Linked DNA regions of Drosophila melanogaster. The protein of the gene in region 1 interacts with the protein of each later gene in a pairwise test. Each region holds a gene or a part of one and is shown on either strand. Other genes may lie near its edges. The genes, in order: CG12470, azot and CG4286.

Evidence for each region.
Region 2: the proteins of CG12470 (region 1) and azot interact in a two-hybrid assay, tested with the Drosophila melanogaster proteins (2 studies listed by BioGRID).
Region 3: the proteins of CG12470 (region 1) and CG4286 interact in a two-hybrid assay, tested with the Drosophila melanogaster proteins (2 studies listed by BioGRID).

Annotation. Positions count from the first base shown.
Region 1 is NC_004354.4:304,966-311,932, forward strand, and holds CG12470 (uncharacterized protein), read left to right. Parts: upstream 1-2,718; 5' UTR 2,719-2,927; intron 2,928-3,124; 5' UTR 3,125-3,242; coding exon 3,243-3,830; 3' UTR 3,831-3,970; downstream 3,971-6,967.
Region 2 is NT_033778.4:7,945,919-7,952,649, reverse strand, and holds azot (ahuizotl), read right to left. Parts: upstream 2,812-6,731; 5' UTR 2,762-2,811; coding exon 2,315-2,761; 3' UTR 2,185-2,314; downstream 1-2,184. Other genes in the region: CG30378 (uncharacterized protein), read right to left, coding at 1,701-2,147; CG34431 (uncharacterized protein), read right to left, coding at 5,668-6,731; CG14764 (uncharacterized protein), read left to right, coding at 4,130-5,045.
Region 3 is NT_033778.4:21,175,347-21,182,223, reverse strand, and holds CG4286 (uncharacterized protein), read left to right. Parts: upstream 1-3,587; 5' UTR 3,588-3,686; coding exon 3,687-4,028; intron 4,029-4,090; coding exon 4,091-4,408; 3' UTR 4,409-4,470; downstream 4,471-6,877. Other genes in the region: Pu (punch), read right to left, coding at 259-388, 463-579, 639-804, 2,077-2,286, 2,580-2,931.

The DNA.
Region 1 (6,967 bases):
TAACAGGAAGCCACGCCCACTCAACAGGTGCCCAGCTGAATTTACTAAAAGCGTCAAAAACAAGAGCATAGACAGTAACATCTCAAGTCAATTCTCCTGTCAACAGTCTCAGACAATTTACTCTAAAAAGAACATGAGCGCTATAGTCCATTTTCTCGGTTTATAGTTTTCGAGTTCTTTTCATACGGACGGAGGGACATTCGAACATGACTAGATCAATACTGAGCTAGAATATAGATGTAATGGGTCAGAAACGCTTTTTTGTTTATTATTTTGTCTGATTTTATAAGTTTTCACGTGAAAGAAATTATAGGAAGATAATCACTTGGGAAACATTTATTATTAGTTTTAATGTTTTCTTCTTTCCAGTGAGAGCAGTTTTTTTCGGATCATGTCTTTAGCGGGTGTATAAGAAAAGGCCTGGCACACATGTTATAAATATGCAAATAATTATTTAGGAGCGTGGAATGCTGGCGACAGCGATTATATGAACGAGCAGATTAAGTCCCTTTAGGCACTTTGCCGTCGTCGTCCCGTGGTCTAGCCCAATCTATTCGCCATTGGTCATCTGGCCAGCGGGTAGGAGGGAGATTCACAGAATTGGGGGAGTGTAGGCTTCCCAGGTAAAAGTGGTTACAGTATGTTTTGTCAGAGATTTTTCCCGTTGATATTCCCGCTTTTTATTTACACGTAGAGTAAAATTGTATTCTAGATTCGTTGTAGCATTTTAGACCCTATGACGTTTATATATACATACATACATATACATACCTTCCTCAGGATCACTAGCCCAGATCTGAGCATGTCCCTTTGTCCGTATGAAAGCAGTTTTTTAATTTAATTTAGTTTTTTGTATTGTCAATTTCTATCCAATTCAATTTCTAGCCAAACAAATTTTGCACCGCCCTAATTTGCCCATACTTATAAAACATAATTCTGAATTTTATTTATTGATTTATGTTATCATAATGGGTATTGGATAGTCGAGTTTCTTGTATATAACGTTCTCCCTTCCTTCTATTTGTTTTTTTTACTTGGCTTTTGACCCAATGCCTTGGACCTTGTTCTTATTTTTTGTTTGCCCTAGACTCGTTGGCGTCGACTTTTAGGTTGTTGCACTTTGGTACCACAGTTATCAAAATTTCGATTGCTCTATTTTATTGCTGTATTTTATTTTGACCGATACAACTGCAGGATAGCCCATGTGTAAACAATCAGCAAACCATTTGTTATATTCCTGCAGTGAATGAAGATTAATTTCAGTCATAAAAAAAGAAAGGGAAGGCTACCGGAGAGGTGCTAAATAACTCCGCTCTCTGAGATAAATTATGCGCAATTTCTCCTCTGCAAACTTATTCAGCACCTTAAAGCTTAAGTACTCCAAACTAAGCTTTCGCGGCTTAAAGCTAAAAATCTTTATTTTATGATAAAAAGCTCAATTTTATGAGCATGTACTTTTTTACGTTTTTAACATGCCGTTTTTTTTTTTAAGAAGGACTTGGACATCTGTATAAGGCAACATATCCATGTGAATTTACAAGGAGAAAACGATTCAGTCGATCTTGTCGGCTTACAGATACGTGTTACTACTCCGCTAGAGGAAGTGCGTTGGAGTTGGATATATGTAGATAACATATCGATAGATTTACAAAATTAAATTTTCAAATGTGTCGGCGTGGCAGTTTTGGGGGGTTTGGGGGCCTTAGAGTGGGCGTGGTAATATTTCAACAAACTTGCGCTGGTTCTGTCTCTAGAATATGTATGCTTAATATAAACCTTCCAGCTTTTATAATTCCTGAGATGTCGACGTTATACGGCCGGACAGACGGACAGTGCCAGATCGACTGGGCTATTGATACTGATCAAGAATATATAAACTTTATATGGTCGGAAACGCTTCTTTCTACTTGTTACATACATTTTCAACGAATCTAGTATACTCTTTTAGTCTGCAAGTAACGGGTATAAGAAGTATAATTTGAACTGTATAAAGGTTAAACTGTATGTAGGTTAAAGTACTTATGCGGTAAATGAATCTTATTTCTAGTACTTATCTAATCATCCCACATTAAAGCAACTGATTAAATAATACCATTGAAGATTGCACACATTTGTATATAGAGAGTGGGAGAGAGCGATATCTTCCTCCATATGGGTATCCTAAACCTGCCGACTCACGTTTGCCGGCATGACAGGTTGGGTTACCCCATTAGCTGAGAATTTCTTTTTGATGAAGCAATAATCGAAGGAGTGTTTTCTTTTGGATTCGTATTCGTTTGATACCGCTGTGAGCCATAAAATGTAACCCATTAGGTTAGTATGGTTGCGATTATAATGGTGGTGTCATCATCATTTAGCCAAAAACCTGAGATTTATTCCACTGGTCCATTCATAAAAGGCCATCATTTGAAGCTTAGATAATGTTTAATTAATAAATACGCGTTTTTCGTATTTCAATGGTACTTTTATCGTATCAGATATTTTTTTTAATATTTCCATATTTTTCTTCTTCCAGCAGATAAAGGAAAGTAGTAGATTTAGTTGTCCCTTAAGTTGTGATACAACGATAATTGAATAAAATAAGAACTGGCAATTATATATGCATTAAGCTGTTTACGAGCACCAAACGTAGCCTACTCTGGGTTGGTTTATTAAATAGAATGGCTTTCTTACTTTTTTTTAGATCACGTTGCTTTGCTGAAACTGTCAGTATTTGGACTTGGCTATCACCAGCCATATGGCAAAACATCAGAAGTAAAATTGTCTGTGAACACACAAAGCACACGAAAAAATCTCGGAAAAAAAACTGTACAAAATTTAACTTCGCTCTCGACCAGATTTACAAAATTTTTTTTTTGGCCAAACTTAAAATTAGGAATACAAGAGAACGGTGTGTGTACCAAAATCAAATCGTGTTTAGCTAGTTGGTGAGTCTTATTGGAAGCTCGGCATATTCCGAATATTACTGAAATTTTTTCCCCATTTCCGAATTGCATTTGGTTTCACATGACATACGCACACAATTGGAAGTCGTAATTCTATATGTGTGGGACAGTGTTTACTGAGTATTTGGTTGGGGTTAACTTAAGAATTAATATTTTTTTTTTTTAAATGCGTATTTCAGACGTCAGGATATATGCTACTTTGATTCGTTAACTATTTTCAAGTGATCGGAAGCAAACGCAGAGGCATTTCTAATTTGTGCGTTGCGCGACTTTCAGAGATCGTAGACTCGATTAACCATGGGTAAAAAGGGCAAAGGAAAGAAGGGCAAGAAGCCCGCCGCAGTTGTGGCTCCCATCGAAGCGCCACCATGTCCTCCGTGTCCGGAACCACCAAAGCAGATGCAACCACTTGACGCTTGTCCAGAGTCTAGCGGACCCCACGATGTCCTTCGGGCTCAACCGAATCATTACCCGGCTCTTCTTCGTATTCCGGAAACAATGGCGGTGGTGGGCTCTGAGAATGGATGCTACGATAGCATTTGCAAGCTCCTGAGAGCCGGATTCCGGTGTGCCGAGCGGGTTTTCGTGATGGCCCCTTGGGGCAACTACGTGGTTTTCCGGTATCACAACAATAATGACTTTATTTACTTCCTGTTTGATGGATGCACCTGCGATGTTAATAGGTTCCGCTATCTAGACCTCAGCTGCGGAACTGCTGGATTTCTTTTCTTCGATAATATGCACGACGTTATTAGTTATATTATCCAGTCTCGAAAGACGCGTCTATATCTGGAGAATCTAAACAAGATTGCCATTGATCAGATTGTGGAGGAGTATGGCGCTGTAACGTACACCCAAAAGGCAAAATGCATGCGATTCGCTTAAATAGGTCCCATATGATTTCTAACAAAAGAGGGCAACGCATACACAACGAGGATAATACTGGACGACAAGCTTTGCTCTAAACATTTAACATATTTTGGCACAATCTTTATCAATAAATAATAATCTCTTTGAAAGCAACTAAAACAAATTTGCATAGCTCTAATACCAATAGCGGTGATAGCGATATACCAAAGCGTTTATTTTGCATGTCGAAGTTAATCCTTTTGTAGAGTTTTGCTGGGAAAGTTGAGGTTAGCGTACGATCAAAAGAAGTTAAATAACAATAGTCGACATAAATTATTGCAATATTACTGTGGATAAAATACAAATCGTAAATATAATATCAAAAATTAGAGACTTACAGGGTGTGAGAATTTTGTCAATTAGAGTACAGATTCCAAGTCGATTAGCGTTCGATTAATTCCATTCATTTGAGTGGTATGGAAATTATGCATGTGCATCATTTTGCTAATATTCGGCTCAAAAGAATGAAGCGGAGGATTCCAGCTTAACGTGCACAACAAATCCCTCAAATTATTATTGCTTGCTACAAAATGAAAAAAGAAGAAACCCAATAGAAACAAGGTGAACCTTCCAAGTAAGGGGTCAATTTTTGGAGGCCCATGGATTGCGAAAACCGCAAAGCATTTGCAATAAAGTGCCAAACAAGCGCCGGCCACACGATATTTGAATATTTATAAAAGTAGTCGACTTGTTGATAGATTATGAGATGTTAAACTGAAAAATTTTATTTTTCAAACAGATTTTCAGTATTTGAAAATGTTTATATTATAACACAATTAAATTGTTTTTAACATCTTAATTAATTCTGAAATAATGTTTAAAGTTCTTACATTTTTATTAACATCTTAATTAATTATATATATATATAATATAATAGGTTATTAGACAGACCGTTACTTCTTATAATTTATATATTGTTATTTTTTAGTGGATGCGATTTGTGAGCAATATATATTTACTTGACATTTGTCCGGGCTACGAGAGAAGGCTCGGCTGGTTAGGCCACTGTTTCGCCGGTGTGTCAAGTGTCCGGTTTCCCTAACCATAACTCGTGTACCCCTCCTTAACTCCCGTGAGTACCTTTTAACTATCCAAACTCCTTGACTAGCCATGTCCCATTTAACATTTTACAACGAGTAGCGTATTTGTATGGCTGCGCGGCATTTTAAGACCCAATCGATCGGAGGATCGAGATTGAGGCACGCAAATAGAGTTAAATATATAATATTTTAACTCCAAAAGTTTATAGTGCACACTAAACCATTTATTAACCCCAAAAAAAAAAATGTATATTCTCGACGAACATCCATAAAGATTTGTGCTAGTACTTTTTTTTGTCCAGTGTAAATCGAGGGAAACATGGGTCGCAGATCGACAGACAAAGACGAAGGTATCTATTTTCCGAAAAATATATATACTTGCCCTTTCACGTTGTCGGCAAATGTCAGCCTACCATTTATATAAATGCACACCTCACCCTCAACTATTTGCAGACTCAAAAACTTTGTCATCTCCCCTTTTGAAGCTCAAGTAAATTCCCCAAATGTACTTGCACCGATGACCCCGCTCGAAACTTTTTACTTCTCGAATAATAATATTTACTAACACAAAAAATGGTTTCGTCTTTTAAATGATTAGTTTTTTTTATTTCATTTTAGGTTTTATGAATACATTCCTTTATACCAATACCATTATCTTTTTTCTTTATAAGTGGCCTGGACTTAGATCATCTCCAAAACTTTTTGCGCTTTGCTAAAAAACAGCAAATTCGCTTCTATTGTTTCGGTCTTGGGTTTTCGTTGATTGAATTTTTGGTTATTGCGGTTACCTTTTACCAGCTTTATACGCTGCATGCAACATTAGTCAATGACACTCGATGCTGGATGTTGATGTTGTTGTTGCTTAGTTGCCAGTTTGCAACATCATCTTGCGTCAGTCGCTGACATGATTATATATATTTGGCATGAACCTCCCCTTCCTTACTATGTGAATATTTGTGTAATGTTTAGATAAGTTTTTATTTATTTTGGATTTCTTTAAAACAAACCAAATAATCGTTCTAGATTTTAAATCAATTAATATTCATTATTCGATGTATGCAAAAACAATGGTTTTCACCCTCTCTTAAGTAAAAACAATGTTATGCAAACATTTGTTGGCCAATTTTTTGCTGTGTCAACAACAATCATTAATTAGATGCAACGAAATTACCAATCAACTGCTGCAACGTAATAAAAATTCATATGCGTTGCATATTAGCTAAATGAAATCAAATGACAGGAAGCAAGCAACATCAGCAACAACAGCAACCGCCTTAACACCGAATATACAACATATTATCGAAGAAATTCAATAACTGCTCATTGTGAAAAATGCTAACCAGCCACACCACAGGGGGGAGGGGTGCACTTTACGCGCTTTTGATCAACGGGAAACTCGTTTGATTCAGTGCAATCGAATTACATTGGCATGAGATGCAGTTGCAACTCTCGCTAACGCTTTCCTTTTCGTGTTGCGCATTTCACTTGTTTCTTCTCTTCTCACTTGCACTAAGCAGATCTTGGCATAATAAATAAATTAATCGACAAATGACGAATGATATATGAGGATAGATTGGAAGTAAAGAAAGACAGAGCCAAAACAGAATGATCTGACGAACTGTAAACACCAAATATATATTGATTGCTGGTTTTGTAAACTAATAAATAATGTAGATTTCAAAAGTTTTTACCAGTGCAGTGTCCAGGGTGACACATGTTTTCAATTTCCATGATTTTGTTGTTTATACAGCTATGTAGATTCAGCTTGGGCTTCTTTTGCTGCCGCACTCATAATTACGAACCGCCAAATGGATTTGGCTTGGCCAGCAAGTGAAAATGCTATCGCTATGCAGCAAAAGCGTGTGACTTTTCGCTTTTTGGTGCCTACCGCTGTTTTTTTTGTAGTTTCTGAATTTGGTTTTTTGCTTTCGGCCGCCGCTGCAACATTGATTTCCTCTTTCATGGCCGGTGGCCGAGATCCGCAATTGCAACTCAAAGAGCTGCAAAATGTTTCCTGCTCCGCTGCAAGACGTGCACTGCGGGGAATAGGCAACAGAAACACAGGGGCTACCA
Region 2 (6,731 bases), on another chromosome or scaffold:
TTTACCCAACTGGTTTGTGCACCAGTACTGCTACATACACAACGATATGTGTGTGAATAAATTTCCACATCATACTAATATAGGCTAGCATATAGATTTACAATTAAAGTGATTGACTGTTCGACTGCCAGCACTTGATGCATGTCGAACACTTCCAGTGAGTGCACAATCATTTCTGTGACTAAGACATATTCATAGCACAGCTAGGGTGTTTTCTATTATGAACTATATATTTTTAAAGCGTGCCTATGTATAAATAACAACTCCGGAGACTACCTAAAAGTAGTATAAACTTTCCATGCGGAAGTACGTGTATAGCTAAATCCCACCCTTTTGGATCTTATTCCGAGGGTTCGCTTCGTGGGAATCAAACAGGTGCGCTGGGATTGAATACAACAATTCGAATCAAAACTGTGGGTATACGAAACTCATATATAAGTCGAGCAGAAATTTATTTAGTCAATTAGCCAATTATGGAGTATTGCTGGGAAATAAGCTGAATGTTTTCTTTTTTTTTTTTCTAATTTCAAATTATAATGCTGCCCCATTTGTGACAATTTGTGTCAACTTTCTTAATGGACGACACTAATCAATGACTTAAATTACAGCGAGGAGCGCGGGCTTTATCAATGCGCTTGCACAGCGATTACTCGTATTCCATATTTACCTGTGTGAGGAGTAAACAGGCGCTATTGATTGCCTATAGCCATCGGTTCAATGTCGCACCGCCACTCACATGCAGAGCAATGCAATTAAACTGTAGCTGAACGATAACCTATTTAAATTATCCATATGAAGCGCTAGAAACATATGAACGTCGGAATGACCTCTCGACTTTTGATTAACATTAATAAGTCCGTGGGTTAACTGTAAGTGGATGTAAAATAAAGAAGCTAATGTTTTAATTTTTCAATTAAGCATAATTAAGTATTTTTGGGGTTATTGTGGGTATTTACCTTTTACAAATAGGATTAGCAATGACGAAATCGTGAAATCTTTCCGAGTAATGCATCCCAGCCCCGAAATATTTCTCCGAATTCGGCATCAATTATTCTTTCTCTATACATGATTTTCTTTTATATATGTTCTGAAATCCATGCACGAAGGCGCATTCAAATTTATAAACCTTTCCCCCTTACAAATTATTAGTCACTAGTCACTTGACAATATTTTATTGCCAAGGTGGGCTTTTATAATTGCCGAATGAGTCATGGACAATGTATGTTGTATGCGTATTAAGGGTGCCAATAGATAACAAGGTAATTTAAAAAGAGCAAGGTGCGATAAGACTTGAACCCAAAATCATGCCACTTGTAAACTTGGTCAGACAAAAAGGAAACCAGCGAGTCCAGTCCAGTCCAGCACATGGTCAAATATTTAAATTGGCATCGTAATCAGCGTGGCTCGATTTTATGATTGCTCTGGCCCATCGCCATCACCCTTTCGAATATCCTGGCACTCCCCAGCGGCCATTAGGCACATGCGACCGTTTCGGAGTCACGCGCCGTGCCACATGGACACACACAAGTGGACTTCTTCGGACAAGGTTTAACAGCCGACTTTCTGGCGCTGCGTTGAGTAAGCCAAAGGAATTTGGTTGGGAATTTCAAGTGGTGCCGCCTAGGCGTAGGGAAAACGCGACTGGGTTGGGCTCTTTCGAAAGGGGTTCGTGGTTAATTTGTGCCTTCAATTTGGAATTCCTAGCTTCGCATGGCGGTAACAAATTCGTTGAAGGAGATCTTTCCATCTTTGTCCTGATCAATGTCCTGGAACAACTCGCGCAAGTCCTCTTCGGACATCTTCTCGCCCAGGTTGGTCATCACCATTCTGATCTCGTTAATTGTAAAGCTGTTCACTTCGCTGCGATCGAAGATTTTGAAGGCCTGCTTTAGGCACACCAGACTGTTCTGCTCCTCCAGCCGTTTGCTCATCACGTATAGAAAGTCCTTGAACTGCACCTGCCCACCGAAGTCGGCGTTACTTTCGTTGGCCAGGTCGTAGATCTCCGCCTCGGTGAGACTCTCTCCAAGGGCCCGCATTACTCCGCCGAGCTGTTGGACGGAAACCCATCCGGACCGTTCCTTGTCATACAAACTGAATGCTTCTCGAATTTCTTCAATCTGGGCCTCGGTCAAACTGCCGCTCATTGTTTCCAAAGTGATTTTCTTTTTTTTTTTTTTTTTTGTAGTGGACTAATGTTTCATGTGCTTTTGTCAGTGTGAACATAAAGAATTTAAACTGAACACAGACAGAACGCCGACTTTTTGTTGGATAGAAATCAAGCCAGCCTTCTATACGAGTACTCACATGGAGGCTATCGCATTGTCATCATGTTGACGAACTCCTCGTAATTCAAGTGATTGTCCTGATCCAAGTCGTACTCGCGTATCATTTCTTCCAACTCGTCGTCGCTGAGCTTTACGCCCAGCGCGGTGAACACATTTTTTAGCTCGGTGGTGGTAATGTAGCCATTGTTATCCTTGTCGAAAATTCGGAAAGCTTCGCGCAGCTCGTCCTCATGGTTGGTGTCGCGCATCTTGCGCAGAATCACATTGCAGAACTCCGGAGCCACGATGGATCCGTTTCCCTCCGAATCCACCTCATTGATCATGGACTGAACCTCGGCGTCGTTGGGCTGGCGACCCAGGGCGCGAATCACCACCGCCATCTCTTTAGATGTTATGGCGCCCTCGTTGTCCTTGTCCAAAATACGGAAAGTGTCAAGGATCAGGACTCGCTCCTCATGCGAAATATCCTCCATCTTAACTGGTATATTATAGTTTCTCGGAAGAGTTGTATATTGCTCTGTTTATATGTAGGTGTCAACTGATGTTTGGATGAAACAAGGTCCTGACATTGAACTCAGTGAAATGTGAAAAATGGTAAAATGAACATCCCCCGGTGGCTTCACTGCGCTGCACAGTGCACAACACCGAATGGCACAAAATCAATATGCTCGTTATATAAGCGCAGTGCCGCACGGACAGAGTTGATTGATTCGAATGTCCTTGGGCGAGGAGGCCTTGCAGCTGATCGGTTTCAATTGCGACCCAGCAACGGACGTCAGCTAGTATCTTTCGTTGTTCGTTAACAAAACAGAAGGAGAGTGCCGTTCGAGGAAAGTTAAGGAGTAAGAATGTGTACAATCACCGTCATTGTTCCAACGCACACTCAAGAAAAAAAAGGCTCATCTTTTCGCTATTCGAAATACAAGAACTCAACAGAAGTTTGCAACGCCAAAATATTTGTGTAGAATGAAAACAACATTAGTGAACTTTTATAGTTCCCGAGATCTCGACGTTCATACGGACGGACAGGCAGACGGAAGGACAGACGGGCTTATCCAGATCGACTAGTGATCTGGATGAATAACTCCTTTAGCTTCACGAGTAACTGGTATAAAAATGTAAATGTAAGATTTTGTTCTTGATTGCTTAAACTTATTCGTAAGTTTTGCTATACATTAAATAATCTATCTATGAATCAGCATACCATACTATTCATACTTAACAAGAGTGTTTTGAGTGTACTGCCATACAAGTGTAGTGGTTGCTATCGGCACAGAAAGGTTGTCATGCGATTTGGGTTTGGCGCCTAGCCTGCAACTTTGGCGGCTGCCTTTTTGCCGCAGGTTAATTCCAGTGCTTCTCCCCCTCGGCCCTTTCACCTGACCGCAGTGGGACACACCTGACACCGGTTTTTGGCTGCCGGAGGAGTGGTAGTGCCCGGGGGGGTGGGCAGAGAATGCGGCACGCTTTACTCTGGCCACAGTCTAAGCAAATAATAGACAAGAATTTGACATCGGCACGAGAGGGTTCCATTGTGCGGCTCATTTGATTTTTGGTTGTGTTTGGGTATTTGTTTGGGCTAGTTTCGGCGAAACAGAGGAAGTGTGCTAGAGGGCCATAATGGAAACATATCTCACATGTGTGTTTCGGAATTGTTCCTATGACGAGGCAAATTCTGGCCATATTTTTTGACCATTAACGCCGCCTGGCCCGACATAAATAATTTTCTAAGAGTGGGGTTCGGGAACCGTATGTCAAAACTTAAATAATAAATCTCTTGTTTATTTCTTGGATAAACCAAAAATATTCATTTATTGCAAATTTAATTTTTTTTCTTGCAGGAAAACCTCCGCGTTGGCTTGGAACGCAAAAAGCTCGAAATAGACCCAAAGTATTTGCTTCTTCTGGGCTTCACCTCGTCAAATGAAGCTACAGGCCAACAGCAGCAGCTGGATCAGCAAAATGTGGTGGACATCGGTTCACCAGGTCAGCAACTGCCAAAGACAGATTTTTCAGCGCCGGCTACAAAAGCGGAACTGGAGCTCAGCGAACTGCGAGGTCTGCGGCGTCCACAGGATGCTGTTACCTTCGGTAGTCAGGCAGGAGATCAAAAGGGGCAGCGGAAGCGGATCACGACGCCGTACAACGGTACAAAGAGCAACTTCACAATCGTCAGCTATGTGCTGGAGGGGCAGGCCGCATCGGCCATCCTGCTGGCCCAGAATATTGCCGCCAAGCTTCCCAGCGAGTACCTGCTAATCTACGATTTGGGCGTTTCCGAGGAGCAACTACGGGATTTGGGCGCCTACTGTAATAACAGCCGATGCTCGGTGATCACCTATGATCTGTCGGAGTTTCCCTCCTTCGTCGCCGATCAGCGGACGCACGCCTACCGGCCCATTGTAATTAAGGACGGTCTTATGCGTGCCCGATCGGTTCTCTTCTTGGAAAACAGCATGCGCGTGCGCGGAGGTTCCGCCCAGCTGCGAAGTCTGCAGAGCATCGTTATGAATCCAGGAGTGGGAAAATCTGCAGTCAAGTCCGCTGGAGTGCTCGGATGGAACACAGCGACGGCGGTATCCTCTCTGACGCATCCAAAAATGTTCGACTACTTTGAGTCGAAAGCTGAGGAGTTTAACTTTCTTCGGATGGTCGACCTGGATGCTGTCTTCTTCTCGGACAGCTCCTTGGTGGCCGAGAAGATCATGCTTCCCTGGCTGAAGTGCTGCCTCACCCTCGAGTGCATCGATCCGATCGGTGAGTCGGGTGGGATGGGTGGTGGTGGTGGTGGTGGCGTCATAGGGATATGTAAAACTGTCATTAGAAATGTTCCTCAGTCACTGCCTGACGCCAATATAAATCAATCAAACGTACGTTCAAACCTCCAACCCCCAAGCTCTCCTTCGGGGCTAGGCTCGTGTACTAATAACTGTCATTTGCACGGCATTCCGTTGATGGCACTCACATCGGGGAAATTTATGTAATTACCACCTGAATTGGGATTGATGGCAAAAGTGACATTGCCTTTCTTAACGAACAATTCATTTTTATTCGACCGGCATTTCCCAAACTAAGTAGTCAACAATACTCACTTTTTGGCTGGTTATTACATATAATGCTTACCAAGCATAGGTGAATTTTTAATAGAAATAAGCTTTCATTTCCTTGAATTCATCTGAAATGAACTCTGTGTTCACTTCCTGGCACTCCTGGCGAATTAAACACAGAGCTCATTTTTAATTGATGAATCCAAAGAAAGAAAATGCTTCTTTTCCAATTTCATTCATTTTCTCGCGCATGTTATATGCAGTCAAATGCTCATTTCTGTATCTTCATTGATTGACTAGATTCAGATACTTTATAGTCGACAAATTTTCGGTTAAGGATCAAAGGTATTTGGAAATATTCCATTCGTTCGTTGCTCGGCTTCAAAAAGTGTTTGATAACAGCGTGATATCATTTTTGTCACATCGAGTGCCTTGTAAGCCTTTAATAATTCTCGTGTGTAGTTTTCAAATCGAAGGGGGGATGTAAGGTTCTCAAGGGTTTCGGAAATGATTTTGGGGTAACGAGAATACAAATTTACATCTTTGTGACTTCTGTGTTTCGCTTCGCAATCGCTTTGATTGGGCTTAGTTATGGAGATTAATTCCCTTTTTTCTGAAACAGGTGCTTTTAACTTTCTTTTCTTGAGATTTTCCATATAGTATTGTCGTTGATTCAAAAAATTTCTTTTCATTGTCATTTCCATTAGCAAAGGTGATACTTTTTCAGTCCTATACTTTTGCAACGAACAGCAAATTTCACACTCGCATTCAGTCTGTGTACCTGCGTCAGTTTTGGGAACGAAAAGTCGTTTAGATCGTTTCTTTCTTCGACGATTGGGTGGTTGGGGTTTCTCTTCGGCCAAGGGAACATACTTTCCTTGATAGTCATCGTAAGTCAAAAAGTCCATGGGTGAATCTCTGTCGTCTAAAATAAACAGTTCTGCATTCGCCCTGGACTGATTTATTCTTTTGATCGACGCAAATGTTCTATTTAATTTTTCAGAAATCTCATAGCCCAACGGCGAAACAGATTCCTCAAAGTACTCAAAATTGTCGCTATTTCCGTGTTTTAAGGTCTCTAATCGATTTAGTTGCTCCAAAAGTTCTAACTTTGAGCCAACTTTTTTGTCACTCAGCCTGTCAACGTTAAGAAAGATGTTAGTAGCAGTTTGTCTAGTGAAATTCCTCAGATTCGTGTCCATGGTACGGAAGGCTTTGCGGTTAGAAATAATTTCTGCCTCCCTTGGTGTGTGTGATTTGGAATCATGGATAGTATCTTGATTTGAAACTCCCTTCTTGAGATTCTTGAAGCCATAGTCGTGGATTTTAAGTCCTTTGCCTAGCTTAAAATCAAATCCTTTGTTCCCAGATGATTTGGTCATCTTAAATTCGTTGG
Region 3 (6,877 bases), on another chromosome or scaffold:
TCGAATCTCGCTTCTCATTACATTCATCTATCTAAAAAACGTATTTTGCTAACAAAATTTTTCAACAATTTTTACACAAATCAACAAGGAAAATGGCTGCGCAATCATTGCACTAACTAAATGAAATCAATCCTAAAAACATAAACTAATGGACCCTGTGTTTCGTTTCATTTTTGTTTGTTTGTATATAAGCGCCTCCAAAAATATTGTAGGGGTTTAGTTGGTCTCGGATTTCAGTAGCGTCCTCTAGTGCCCACTCTATTTGCTATTGACTAAGTTCAGGAATTCCTCACGGGTCTTGGGATCGTCTCGGAACACGCCCAGCATAGTTGAGGTAACAGTTTTGCTGTTGATCTTCTGCACGCCACGCATCACCATGCACATGTGGCTGTATAGGAGGAAAGCCATTCGTTAAACTATAATATTCTTTAAAATATATATGTATATATATTTAATACTTACACTCCCTCTACGACCACTGCTACTCCAGCGGGTTGCACGGCCTGAGTCACGGCCACTGCGATCTGCTTAGTTAAGCGCTCCTGGACTTGCAGGCGACGCGAAAATATTTCGACAATGCTATGGGATCGCAAATTATATGAAAGATCATCTAATATGCATTACTAAGTTTATCTTACCGTGCCAATTTACTGAGTCCGAGAATCTTGTTGCACGGCAAATAACCGATGGAAACTTTGCCGTAGAAGGGCACCAGATGATGCTCGCACATGGAGAACATTTCAATATCCTTGACCACCACCATTTCGTCATGATCCTCGTCGAAAACGGCGCCATTGAGAACATCTATTAAAAAAAATTTGAAATGGTGTAGTAAAAAAAAAGTACGAAAAAGGAATTCATCATCGCCTGACCCCGACGTGATTTGAACACGCAACCTTCCGATCTGGAGTCGGACGCGCTACCGTTGCGCCACGGAGTCGTTATTGAAAAGTTCGCCCAATGTCCCACAACCACGAAGCTACTCAAGTGGCGTTCCTTCGCTACCCGTGATTTATGGCGCGCGTAATTCGTGTTAGATTTATTTGCTGCATAACTGAATACTGAATGTTAAGTTCAAGCGACTGTGAGTGCTAAAGTGGTTGCTTAGCGAGTGTTTGTGTGTGTGTGTGCGTGTGTGAGGTTGCGGGTCTTGGGGGGAGGTTGACTTGACTTGACTTGACTGGATGGGCTTATGGTTCTTGTGGAGTGTGAGCTTTCGCCACACTCGTTTTAAACGATGTGCTCTTGAGATTCCCATTCCTTGAATAGAAGCCGCCGCCGCACCGCACACCCACCCACTTTACCGCTCTTAATATACAGACCGGAAAGCTTCAGTGCGTTTCCTGACCAACCAGCGAAGAAGCCAAGAAGTAGCCAAGTAGCCAGTGAGCCATCTAACAAACAATCCAACAAGCATCTTGTGTGTGTGGTGGGGAGGGGGGTGGAGTTCCCCCAACACCAGATTGGCAAGTCACGTTGGCTCGGCTTCTTGGGTTCTTTGAATTCGGGTTAAACACAATCCAACCCATTCTATTGCCGATGCCGAAGGCTATTCACTTTCGTTCAACGAATTTAGCTTTCAAATGGCCTGCTGCTGTTGCTGTTGATCTTAAATTTACATGCGATTTTATTTGACAAACCGTAGAACCTGATTTCTCGGGCAACCGGTTAGGTATGCTGGTGTAGCAACCATATAATTCGCAATTCTGTTTTGTTTCTCAAACGACTCACATTGATTACATGACAAGTTCAAAAGCGACTGCAAGTCGAAATGCACGCCAAACATGAGACCAAAAACTTTACTAGTCAAATCTCATATTTCATAGGATATTGAATGGATTTTGGATGCGTCCACTTGATTGGACAAGCCCGAAATTGCCTAATGGCTCCCTATGTTCATGTGCTTTATCTCTCGAGTGGTCAGGTAATTAGGCTAATGCACCATAGCGGACCGAGGAACCCCCGTAAATGGTGATTCACCGACATGAAACTAGTTCCCACTCGCTGGGAAAACCAGGATGAGCAACTTCGATCACTGACCCGGTGCTAATTGCTTGAAATGTGTGGTGTGCTTACCCTCGAGACTCTGGTCGTAGCCCTTGGTGAAGTACAGCATGGCCTTGGCTGCCCGCTCCGGCGTCTTGATCAGTCCCTGGCGATCGGGATTCTCGCCCAGGCCGCCCAAGAGTAGACGATACGAGCGTGCCATGTCCGGAAGGAGGGCCTCTCGCGTCGGCGGCTTGTGGTCCAGCTCCAGGTCGTGGTGGAACGTGCACTTCTCGTGGCCTGTAAATGGAAATACGGATGGAAACATGATGAGAATCGTTATCATGCGAGATAGGAAGGCATTGCCCCCCTTCGTTGGCTGTGTGTGGCTGTCTAAGTACTATTCCCCATTCCGAGGCGCATCTTCTGACCTCTGAACCGAAACACTAACCCACTGATAGGCGTACGGTTTATGCTCAAAAAGAGTTTGTCAAGCACTCCTCCTCCTCCTAGTTCATTGACTAACTAAATCGGTCGCAGCAAACATAGCTCTGGATCCCCTGACCTGGTCCTGGACCACTACCCACCACTACCTGGCGTTGTCGATGTACGCGGTGTCAGTGGTGTTTTCGGTTGTGTACCATCACTATCCGGACTGCTGCCGTTGGTCTTCAGGATGAGGCGGGGTCTCTGGTTGCCGGCCAACGGGACGAGAGCAGGAGCTGGCGCCACCTCCTCGACGGGTGTGCCCGCAATGGCAGTGGCCTCCTCCGCCTGGTTCTGCTGCCTGTCCGCCAGCGAGGAGGTGCCCGAGGTGCTACTTGTTGAGCAGACGCTGTTGTTGCGTCCGCGCGAAAGGATGTGGGCCTGCGGGAAGTTGGTGTCGTCGATGGCATCGTTCAGCTCGCTGGCACTCATCTCGGACAGTTGGCGGGTAAAGCTCATGGCGGTGCGGCTACTCAGGTTTGTTTGCCACTCGAATGGAACTCAATTTGACGGCTAGCACACAATCTTTTTTCCTCGATGATTTTCTCACTGCTATCTGTCTCTTTTTGCGCTGCTGTCTGCCGGACTTTGTCTTCGCGTGTTGGCGCTTCGGGTGGCTCTGCTCTTCTGGTGGCTGCTGTGGCCAGCGGTGGCAATAAGAACCTCTCGAGCGGAGCTTTGAGCGGCGGAAAGCTCCAATCAATAGCCAACAGACCATCCAACGGGCAAGCTCTGCTCCGAGTTTCGCTTGCCGGAGATTAAGTGAGCGGAACTAAACCGAGCTGAGCGCAGGCCCACGGTTTGGCATCCAGTGGCTGTAAAACCGCGCACGAACTTGTTGCTCGGCCAGGAGGCGATAGAACTACAGCACTAGCCACGAAAATAGTGCCATCAAATGTTAAAAACTAGCTTTGGGTGGTAGGTCAATTTACTTGTTAGGAAAGTAAAGCTACCTTATTGGGATAAGTGTAGCGTTTACCCTTAATATATATTATTAAATAGAGTGTACCAAGCTTTTGCCCTCAAACGTGCACTTTATCCTTGGCGCCAACTTAATCTCAACTATTGTTTGCATATCCTTGAAACCCACTCAACTTGGGGCCAGACGTCAAGTTGTAGTTCATTTAAACATTCCACTCGAAACGAGCTACTCCCCCAAATTCGAACCCCCTTCCAACCATCCGCCCCTCCATTCATCTTGGAGAACCAAAGTCATGGCGCACCGCCTCCAGCTCCGTAGCGATGACTTCGACGTTATCGGCGCCGTGCCCCGCAATCTGTCCGTGATCAAGAACTTCCTGAAGCGGGACTGTGCCATCAAGAAACTGATCGACATCGAGGAAGAGTTCCTGCAGGAATGCGTATTGCGCGGCCAGGATCCCATGAATCCGAAGGGTAAACGTGACAGTGACAGTGGGCCACATGGTAGTGGTTTGGGATCCAATGTGCCCGAACCCAAGCCGGATCCATGTGCTACCAAGACACCGGAGAACACATTGGCCTCCGACTACTGTGATCCCTGTCGCCGACTCAAGACCTCCGTGGTTCTCGAAGAGGTGAGTGATCTGTACATTCAATGTGCTTCAGTGATTTAGATGTTACTCCACTCATCTATCAGCTAACCAAGCCGGCCATCACAAATCCGGCTTTCAACAAATCCCTGCCGCCGTACTTCGATGAAGAGAGCGTGATGGGCAACTCGTTGCCCGTGAAGTTCCGTTTCCGGCGCAAGTTCAACAAGTGCGACCAGGAGAAGGCCGGCAACCTGATGTGCACCAACACGCCGAGCACCAATGTGGTCGTGTTGACCAACTGTTGCGACGTGATGGTCTGGCCCAGTCAACGGGTGGCCCAGATGAACCGGGTGCCGGTGACCATGCTGTCGGGCGAAGCCGATCTCACGGAGTACATGCTGGAGGAGGAGACCATTATGTGAGGGAATGGTTGGATGGGTGCAGCTTTTTGGCACATAACGCCGATCAATAAAGCATTAACCCCACTTAGAAGTGTCCTCATTTTGTGCGGGAAACCCTGCATCCCACATGTGGGGCTTCAATTGAAAGTAGCTAGTCTCTCCAGCTGGCCAAATTTGATTATTCTCTGCATATATTCGGAATCTTATTTGCATGCAAAGTATTCGTGGTTTATCGCGAGCACTTTTCTTGTTTATGGCATGGAGTTGAAGGTTATTCTTTATATATGTATATACATATATATGTCCTGAGAAATAGATTTTGGTGGGTTTGTAAAAAAGTACAAACCACAAGGAATGTAAAGCACATTAAAACCTTCCACCGCTGCTTAGGGTCGAATAAATCAGTTGGGAATAGCACAGGCTGGTTTAGTTTACATAAGTATAAGACAGCTGCAGATTATCGTTACAGATTATGTGACGTAGGTACAGTGATACCTCGCTAGTACTTATATATGTGCATGCAACCCTTAAAGAAGATGACTTGAGGGATGTCTGAATTGAAACCGCTTGTAAAGATGTAATGCAAATCGTTGAGCTCCAATGGGTTTCTTCCGGATTGGTCGACCCGTATGCTCATGCGGTGCAATTAAAGCATCATTAACATTTTCCACAGGGCAGGTGTTGTCTCCGGCTCTCTGGGCTGCACAATTAACCATTACGGCATTTGATCTGAATAAGGAATGCATTCCCCCCCATTCGTTGGTCTGTGGATCGGGATCGGGATCGGGGATTCCGTGCTGACAGGGTTGCCACCACGCCTTGGGAGAATTCGCTCGGAGAATTTTTTAAGTGCCTCAATTAGCTTGGATCGCCTCGGCTCTCAGCCAGCCAGCTTTGTTCAGTCTTTGTTTTTTTTTTTTTTTTTTTTTTGTTTTATTGACCGCAATCGCTCAAATGTGAAGTACTGCGGCCAGGCCTATTAGTCACCATAGCCGACAGACACCAGCTCAAAACTGAGGGGCAATCGAAGAAACTGAAACTCAAACTGAACTGAAACCGTGGCTAGTGGCTAAGACCCACGAATCGAAACCGTTTGGAGCACCGTACTCGCAATTAAACACTTTTTTAACCTTCACAAAAGTAGTTCAGGCCCATTCCCCCCTCCCCCATTCCAACTAACCACCCTACGTTTTGGCCAAATCAAACGAAATCAAATACCGGATCACAAGCCAAAGGGGTTTATGTCTTTGTCTTTGGCTCATGGCCCAGAGTTCCCGAACTCCATTCAGCTCTCGTTGAATCTGCCGATCCAATCCAATCCGATATGATCCGTTCAGCCAAGTGCCATGTACCGAGCAAATCTTTCAATGTCAATGTCAATAAGCCCAGTCAGTGCCACAGCTAGTAGCTCTCTTATTTTTTTTTTTTTATTATTATTATTTTTTTTTGTTTGGTATGGACACAACAAGAGTTACTCTCGATATCCGGCACTGCGTGTGGTTTGCATATGGGACAGAAATCGTGGCTCTCGAATCTCTGTGGTTTATGTTCTCGGATTTATGAGGCCCAGCATCGCCGGAAATCGGAATCTTCGCATTATGCGCATTTGATTGAATTTCAATCGCGGCCCAACTAACCTATGACTGATGCAATATGGCAGCCAGATTGCATTGCGCGCGATGTTAGCCAGTTCAAGGGGTTGTATTACCCGGAAACTAGATCGGGTTTACTGGCTATCAAGGGTTAGCTTTGAATTCTTCAACCAAATTGTGCGGGCATTCAGAAGAAATGAAATGGTAACAGAAACAGATAAGGATGAATCATGTTTGTGGTATTACCAAACTTTAGTAGGCTTCTGGATAAACCCCTTCTTGACGAAGATCACCAAACGTTACTAACTATATTCCAAGAACTTCGAAATGGAAAGATGCTAGTGCACTTGTGGACAATTAATCATCCAAGATATGGATTTCAAATCACAAAGCAAAAAGTCCCTTAAGTGGGAGATACTAATTTATAGCCTGGAATGGAAACCGAATTTCTACACCAACTAATTAACAACCAATTTATTTTGACTTCATCAAAACAATCCCACTATGCGTATACGCACTTTTCTCAAACCAGGAAGAGTTCCCGTTTGTGGCATTCTTCCGGAGAACTCACCGCTTCCATTGCTGGCCAGCTCCAAGTTGAGCATTTCCAGTTTCAGCTGCTGGCTGTTTTTGGAGACCGTTAGATCGGTGCCGGACGTGGCGGAGGCGGCGGAGGCTTCGCCCGTGGGGATCGTGGCAACGGCCACGGCATCTGCGGCACCCTCGCCATTTTGGCCACTGCCATTTTGCTCGCTTGTCTGGGGCTTCATGTTCGATTGATTGGAGTTGATGTTTGGCTGGGATTGGTGGACTCTGCGAGGACACGGGCTCGGAACTGTTTGAACTATGGGACTTGAGATTGGGGCTCTGAACGCGTGGCGGACTTTTGTATTTGGCG